Linked DNA regions of Canis lupus familiaris. The protein of the gene in region 2 binds, or shares a complex with, the protein of the main gene of each other region. Links are inferred from orthologs where the notes say so. Each region holds a gene or a part of one and is shown on either strand. Other genes may lie near its edges. The genes, in order: CNOT6 and CNOT10.

What was found.
Region 1: CNOT10 (region 2) and CNOT6 share a complex: the UniProt entries of both Homo sapiens proteins name them as parts of the CCR4-NOT complex. The link is inferred for Canis lupus familiaris from reciprocal best matches to the Homo sapiens genes CNOT10 and CNOT6.

Annotation. Positions count from the first base shown.
Region 1 is NC_049232.1:1,536,509-1,540,420, reverse strand, and holds the start of CNOT6 (CCR4-NOT transcription complex subunit 6), read left to right. Parts: upstream 1-1,066; 5' UTR 1,067-1,272; exon of another isoform or gene 1,273-1,341; intron 1,342-1,973; exon of another isoform or gene 1,974-2,083; intron 2,084-2,909; exon of another isoform or gene 2,910-3,037; intron 3,038-3,912. UniProt on the Homo sapiens protein: Poly(A) nuclease with 3'-5' RNase activity.
Region 2 is NC_049244.1:4,228,752-4,232,563, forward strand, and holds part of CNOT10 (CCR4-NOT transcription complex subunit 10), read right to left. Parts: coding exon 3,688-3,812; intron 1,444-3,687; coding exon 1,301-1,443; intron 473-1,300; coding exon 386-472; intron 1-385. UniProt on the Homo sapiens protein: Component of the CCR4-NOT complex which is one of the major cellular mRNA deadenylases and is linked to various cellular processes including bulk mRNA degradation, miRNA-mediated repression, translational repression during translational initiation and general transcription regulation.

The DNA.
Region 1 (3,912 bases), on a different chromosome or scaffold from region 2:
AGTCTGGCTCCAGCACGGGGTCTCAGCCACCTGTCAGGAACGTGCCCCGAAGCAAGCACCATGCCCAGTGATCTCTGCTCGCCTTCCTCGCCACCTAAGGACAACAGCTTGATTTCTTTTTAAAAATATTTTATTTATTTATTCATGAGACAGAGACAGAGACAGAGAGAGAGAGGGGCAAGGGACAGGGGCAGCGGGAGAAGCAGGCTCCACGCAGGGAGCCCGACGTGGACTCGATCCCGGGGCTCCAGCATCACGGCCCGGGCTGCAGGCGGCGCTAACCCGCTGCGCCCCCCGGGCTGCCCGACAGCTCGGTTTCCGAAGGCAGACCTCGGGCTGGGGCTCTGGCTGGGACCCCTCCACCACAGCCTACTTACTGTACTGCGCGGCCCTGAATGGGCCGAAACGGGGCACGAGTTCATTTTTTCCTGCCCGTTCGAGGCAAGCAGCAGGCGGCTGCTCAGGACCGGAGGCCTCCTCGGGCAGGCCACGGCGGCGGCTGAAGTCAGGTCGCGGGCCGCCCCGCATTCCCACCAACGGACAGCGGAACGAGGGGAAGGAGGCGAGGAAACGGTGGGAAGACAGCACACAAAAGTGGACAGCCCGAGACCAGACCAGAAAGAGAGGACGGACGGCAAAACGGAGGGCAGTGGCGGGAGAGAGCAGGGACCCAGCGGGACAGAACACCGCGCGGGGCGGGAGCGGGCGGGAGCGGGCGGGAGCGGGCGGGAGCGGGGCCCCGGAGAGTGCCGGGCCGGCCCATCGCCGCGCAGCGCGGAGGGGCGCCGGGGGGCGGGGCTTGGGGAGCGACCCCCCCGCCGCACGGCGAATGGTCGCGCCCGGCAGCGGCGGCCAATGGGCGGCCGGGATGTTGGAGCGGCGGCGGCGGTCGGGGTGCTCGCTGGCTGGGGGACGGGGCCGCCGCCATGATGCTTGTTTGCTTTCAATGAAAACGAGGGGGGCGCGAAGGAGGCGGCGGCGGCGGCGGTGGAGGCGGCGTCGGCGGCGCGGAGGCGAGGGCGGCAGCGGGCGCAGCGCGGAGGGCGAGGCGGGAGGCCGAGAGGGCGGGAGGGCGTAGCGGTGGCCCGTCGGGGCGGCTGACGCGGTGGCGCTCGAAGGGGGAACAAAGAGCGGCGGCTGAGGCGGCGGCGGAGCGGCGGCGGCGCTGCAGCAGCGGGCGGGACTGGTATGGTGGTTCCACAGGTCAGACCCCGCTGCACTCACAGGGAGGAGGCGGCGGCAGCGGCGGAGGAAGGCGGCGCACCCCGAGAGGTGAGCACGGCGGGCCCGAGGCCCGGCCGGGCGCGCTCCCCGCACTGGCTGCGCGCGGGGCCCGCTCGGTCGCGGCGCGCGGGGCCACGGCGCGGGCGGTTTGAGTTGTGAGGCTGGCGAGCCCGCGGCTCGGCCGAAGCGGCGGCTGTCGGGGGCCTCCGAAGTGCGGCCGTGCTGATCCGGCCGGCTCCCAGGCCGCGCCCCCGCGCCCAGCCCGGGGGGCGGGGGGTGCTGATTGACGGCGGGGCGGGGCGGGGCGCGGGCGGGGCGCGGGCGGGGGCGGGGCGCGCCGGGGGCGGGGGCGGGGGCGGGGCGCGGGCGGCGAGCCGGGTGTCCGCGCCTCTCGGCCGGGATGGGTGGCAACTCTGGCGGAGTGGCCGTGTGGGATTGTGCGTCGTGGAGTGTGGAGCTTCGCGGTTACCGCAACGCGGTAAACCAGCGGTTGACCCCCTACCCCGAAAGTCTTTCGAATTCATCTGAACGCAGACTGGGGGGAAGTGGGCGGGAGTGACGGGGACCTGATTCAGAGGCCCTTACTTAGCCCCCGACGGAGAGATTCCTGGTATCGCTCAGAACTTACTGGAAGCAGTTTCCTCCCGTAACCCCAACCGCATGTCTCCCTTTTTATTTCTAAACACCAGTCGTTATTTTCTTTGGAAACTTTTTCTCTTTGACACTTTTCTCCCTCCCTTTCCCCCCAGAGAGCCTGCTAAGGAACACCTGTGATCTTTTCTTTAACTGTTCCCGCAGATGACAGCATTGTGCAGGTACCCTTGCTTGACCCATCTTGCGTGTACTGTGTTGAGCTGAGGTAATTTAAATAATCTGCTTGACTTTGAGTTCCCATACTTACTGTTTTCTAGGTGCGTTGTCTCATTAGTGCTAGTATGGAATTTCTTACATTCTTGTGTCTGGAAATTTCATTTTAGGGAGGAAGAGAGGGAGTATGAACTAGTGAAAAATAAAACGGCGGGTAATGGCACTGATTGTTTTTCACCGGACGCTAGGGTTTGCCATTCCAGAACAGTTCTGCAGGCTTTCCGGGCTGATGTGGTCATAGATCAAAAGGTTTTGAAGATTTTCTTTGTAATTGCTGTCAGAACAGTTGTCACAGTCTTCAGAATGTGATGTCTGTTAGAGTTAAAATTGCTTCATATTTTTTTGACCAGTGATCTAGTCTAGTCAACATGCTTTAAACAAAATATTTGAAAAGCTATGACTGTGGAAACAGACCTAGAAAGGTTCAAGTGACGTGGCCAACGTGCTTGCAGTGAAGAGGGAAAGCACATGAGTCTATGTGGTATTTGCTGGAGATTAGTTCTTTTGGGAGGGCAGAAGGTGTTTTAATGGGTAGAAATTATTTGTGGTAGTTGTGTCTCTTCAGTTTGCAGTTAAACAAGATACTAAAGTAGTCAAAACAAGAATGGAATAGAAGACAAGTTTTCTTGTGAGACTGAGAAGATTTGCTCTGAGAGTTGATACGTGCATAGTTTCAGAAGTGTCTCAGTGGTAATGTTGATGAAGAAGCCCTTTGTTTTTTTTTTTTTAATTTTTTTTTTTTATTTATTTATGATAGTCACATCAGAGAGAGAGAGAGAGGCAGAGACACAGGCAGAGGGAGAAGCAGGCAGGCTCCATGCACCGGGAGCCCGACGTGGGATTCGATCCCGGGTCTCCAGGATCGCGCCCTGGGCCAAAGGCAGGCGCTAAACCGCTGCACCCCCCAGGGATCCCTGAAGAAGCCCTTTGAATACATACTTGGTTTGTAGGTGTTTTCAGGTTTCTTAAATCTTGGTGGCAAATTGAACCTACAATTTTTGTGAAATTTCAGACTGTTTTTTTTTTTTTTTTTTTTTTAAATTTCAGACTGTTAAGTTGATTATAGAACTTGGTCCTTGCTGCAGATAAAGGCATTAAAGGAATTTGCCCACTGTACTTGTAGTGATAAATTCACATTTCGGTCAGTGCTTAGGCATTCCACTAGGTACATGTTAACCTTCTTACGTTGTTTGAAGCATAAGCGTTTTTCATATCCTAGTGCAATGAAAGGCATAATGTATGTAAGGCATACTGGAATAAATGGTCAGTGGTGCTCACAGCTGTAGACCTTGGGTCATAAGGGCAAGAGACCAATATTTGCACACTGGCAACTTCCCCATATGCAGAGTAGACTGGTTGGGAAGCCCTTCCTTTTTTTCTTTTTTTAAGATTTTATTTATTTATTCTTGAGAAACACATAGAGTCAGAGACATAGACAGAGGGAGAAGCAGACTCCCTGTGGACTCCATCCCAGGATCAACCACTGAGCTACTCATGAGCCCCTGAGAAGCTCTGCTTTTAAAGTGTTTATCGCTTTGGAAAGGTCCAAATAGGTTCAGCTAAGGACATGTATTTTAATGCAGAAAAGGCTTGGATTTGTAGGTATGCAGTGCTTGTATACGCTTTATTGTTGTGAATGGAACTTAACGTTATTGTCTAGAAAAATGTTCCAATTTCAGTGTTAATCCTTAGCTTCCATCTTGATGTACTTGTTTCCTTAAACTTGGCTGCTACTCACTTTACCAAGGTAGCCATTTTACAACAAAGTGTGATTAAGAAAATGCTATATGAAATTAAGAAATACTGAATAAACTGTAAACT
Region 2 (3,812 bases):
AACAGGCTCCCTGCATGGAGCCTGCTTCTCCCTCTGCCTGTGTCTGTGCCTCTCTCTGTGTGTCTCTCATGAATCAATAAGTAAAATCTTAAAAAAAAAAAAAAAAGAATGAATTTTAATAGTCTACAAACTGATTTTATCATCCAATACATTCCCAGGCCATTTCTCTCAATCTCTTATCAAGAAATTGAAAGATACTGCATTATCATTTTAGGCAAATATAGTCAGAAGAATAAATGTGCTTTTAAATTACAATACTTCAAAGCTAAACAAACATACATGCCTCAAATTATTTACTTCTTCCAACGATTTATCACATTCTTTATCATTCATAACTATTAGTAAATATACATGATAATAAAATCTCTCTTAGAGTGTATGCTACCTGATGTATCTTTGATTTTGCAGCTTCTATTAGGGCTCCACTTTCAGCTTTATGATTAAATCCGTCTTTGTTGGTGTTATTACCAGTCTGTAGTGGTAAAACAAAGTTAACCAAAATTAAATATATATATATTTTTACCATTAAATATATATATTTTTTACCATAATTTAAATCAGTAATTTCCAAGGAAGCTAATCTGAATCATCTAGAAAGCATTTTCGAACTACAGAATCCCAGGTCTCACTCTCAGAGATTCAGGTATAATAGTCTGGAATGGGTAACAGGAAACTTACTTTGTTTTGTTTTGTTTGGAGGAAACTACTTTTGAGAAGCTCCCATTGAATATAATGATACGCCAGGTTTAAAAAGCATGGATCGTACTCAGGCAAAACTCAAGATTATCTTTCTGAAACCCAGAACGGATCATGTTCCCTTTTTTGTCTTTTTTAACCTTTTGAAGTCCACGTTTTTCTTTTTTAAAGATTTGTATTTATGTATTTGAGAGAGAGAGAGAGAGAGAGAGAGAGAGAGAGAGAAAAGAGTGGGCTAGGGTCAGAGGGAGAGGAAGAAGCAGATTCTCCACTGAGCAGGGAGCCTGACACAGGCGAGGCTCAACCCAGGACCCTGGGATAATGACCTGAGCTGAAGATAGACACTTAACTGAGCCACCCAGGCGCCCCATGTCAGTCCCTTCTTAAAAACTTTCTCTGGTATAAACACTACCAACATCATATGCTGGATTCCTAGTTATCCTTCGCAATGTCTCTTAGCCACTTTCAAGTATGTAATCCTATGGTATTATTAACAATATTGACCATTTTGTATAGTGAATTATATTTCAATAAAGCTGTTAAAATATTTAATAACCCCAAATATTAACCATAAACTTTAATCTGATCACCTCAGAACACTTACCTCATTTTTTCCATTTTTGTTATTGTTACCCTGTGATATCATTTTTTCTAGGACAGCAAGAAGATGCAAAGCTTTCTCAGCTTGATAGGTTAATATATAAAGGTCTACAAGCAAAAAACACACCGCCTGGGCAAATTTTTCTTCTGGGGGGAAAGAAACAGGAAAAGAAAAGTTATAATCCAAAGTGAAGCAAACATACCAGACCACTCCTCCCCAAAAAGTTCTAAAGAGCAAAGACTAAGTTTTGTTTATGTTTTTTAAGATTTTACTTATTTATTTGAGAGACAGAGAGAGAGGGAGAGCATAAGCCGGGGAAGAGGTAGATGGAGAGAGGCAGACTCCCCACTGAACAGGAGCCTGGTTTGGTACGGTGCTCTATCCCAGGGCCCTGGGATCATGACCTGTGCCAAAGGCTTAACTCACTGAGCCACTCAGGCGCCCCCTAAGAAAAATGGATTTGAATTCTAGGGGATCCCTGGGTGGCTCAGTGGTTTAGCTCCCATGTCGGGCTCCCGGTGCATGGAGCCTGCTTCTCCCTCTGCCTATGTCTCTGCCTCTCTCTCTCTCTCTCTCTGTGACTATCATAAAAAAAAAAAATAAAAATAAAAAAATTGAATTCTATCTAGTTGGTTGCTATATTCTTTTTTTTTTTTTAATTTTTTATTTTTTTTTTATGATAGTCACAGAGAGAGAGAGAGGCAGAGACACAGGCAGAGGGAGAAGCAGGCTCCATGCACCGGGAGCCTGATGTGGGATTCGATCCTGGGTCTCCAGGATCGCGCCCTGGGCCAAAGGCAGGCGCTAAACCGCTGCGCCACCCAGGGATCCCTAGTTGGTTGCTATATTCTATACTCAGCCACAATATAGATTAATAGGATTTGATGAATTGTTTCAGAAATCCTAAAGACCAGCTTTGTAGGGGGACCCAGCTGGCTCAGTTGGTAGAGTATGTGACTTTGATCTCAGGGTCATAAATTCAAGCCCCTCTTAGGCGTAGAGATTACTTTAAAAACAAAAAAACCAACAAAACCCCCAGCTATATAGAAAAACACATCTGTGTCATCCTAGAAGTAGAATTCTGATTTCTAGCTTCATAGAGAAAGGTCACAATTTATACCATCTTCACCACTGGTATTTCTCCTGCCCAATCTGCCCAGCCACCACACCCACAGTACAGAAGAGGAGTATCTTAAAAATGCCTCCCTAGATCCATAGTAAGCAGCTGTTCAACCAGTTGACAGCAAAGGCGATCCTGTAACTCTTCTAAAGCCCCACAGAGGTGCCATCACACTCTACCTCTTCTCCTGTGGGGACTGATCAGCAATCAGGTATTTATAAATCAGGAACTGGCATTAGTGTTTTAAATGCAAAAGAAAGTAATGTAAGAAAAAGACAAAAATGTGAATCACAACTGAAATCTGACTGATTGTGAGTTGAAAACAAACAGCCCTAACAACCATTTCCTGAGTCAGGCTTTGCTACTTTATTTGCTCCCTCTTTGTTCCTTTGCCTTCACCTTTCTTATTATACTTACTCAAGGCTAGTAACTGCAAGCTAATTAAGATATAAAAAAATGCTAAGATAGTCTGTACTATCTATTCTATAATTCTATAATTACCCACAAAAATGTCAGTGAGGCAATGGACAAAAAAAAAAAAAAAATTGTCCCTTAATATCTCCGAATACTTCTTAATATATTGCCCAAGTAACAAGATTGGGTACACTAGGTAGTGTAAAAAGAGCAAACAAAAATCACTAAATCTTTCCAATCAGAAACATCATTTTTTTAAAGATTTTATTTATTTATTTACAAGAGATAGAGAGAGAGGCAGAGTCATAGGCAGAGGAAGAAGCAGGCTCCATGCAGAGAGCCCGATGTGAGACTCGATCCTGGGACTCTGGGATCATGCCCTGAGCCAAAGGCAGTCACTCAACTGCTGAGCCACCCAGGCATCCCAAGAGACATCATTTCTAACAGTTGTTTTTAAAAATAGAGTGAGGAGGAAATGCTGAAAGAAAACCTAGGTTCATCTAAAAGTAATGTCATTTTTATCTTTTCTATTAAGAAAATCTGACATAGCTTTTTTCTTTTTTCATAAATAGTAACAAGTAATTCCCTGATTTAGGTTAATTAGGTAAAAGTACCAGAGGCCATTGCAAGTATGAGAAGATACAGAATTCTTTTTTTATAGTGGGAGAGGGGCAGAGGAAGAGATAGAATCCCAAGCAGGTTCCATGCCCACCCAACTTAGGCTTGATCTCACAACTCTGAGATCAAGACCTGGGCTGAGATCAAGAGTCAGGCTCAGTCAGACTTAACTGACTGAGCCACCCAGGTCCCCTGAAAATAGGGAAATTTTCAACGGAAAAATTTTGACAGAACATACCAAAAGGTTCTATGAACTGGTAAAGCTTTTCACCAACTGCTATCGCTTCTGTGTACTGCCGCAGATGATAAAGAATGACTGCCTGATTGTAATACAACATGCTGTTCTCTACATCATCTAATCCA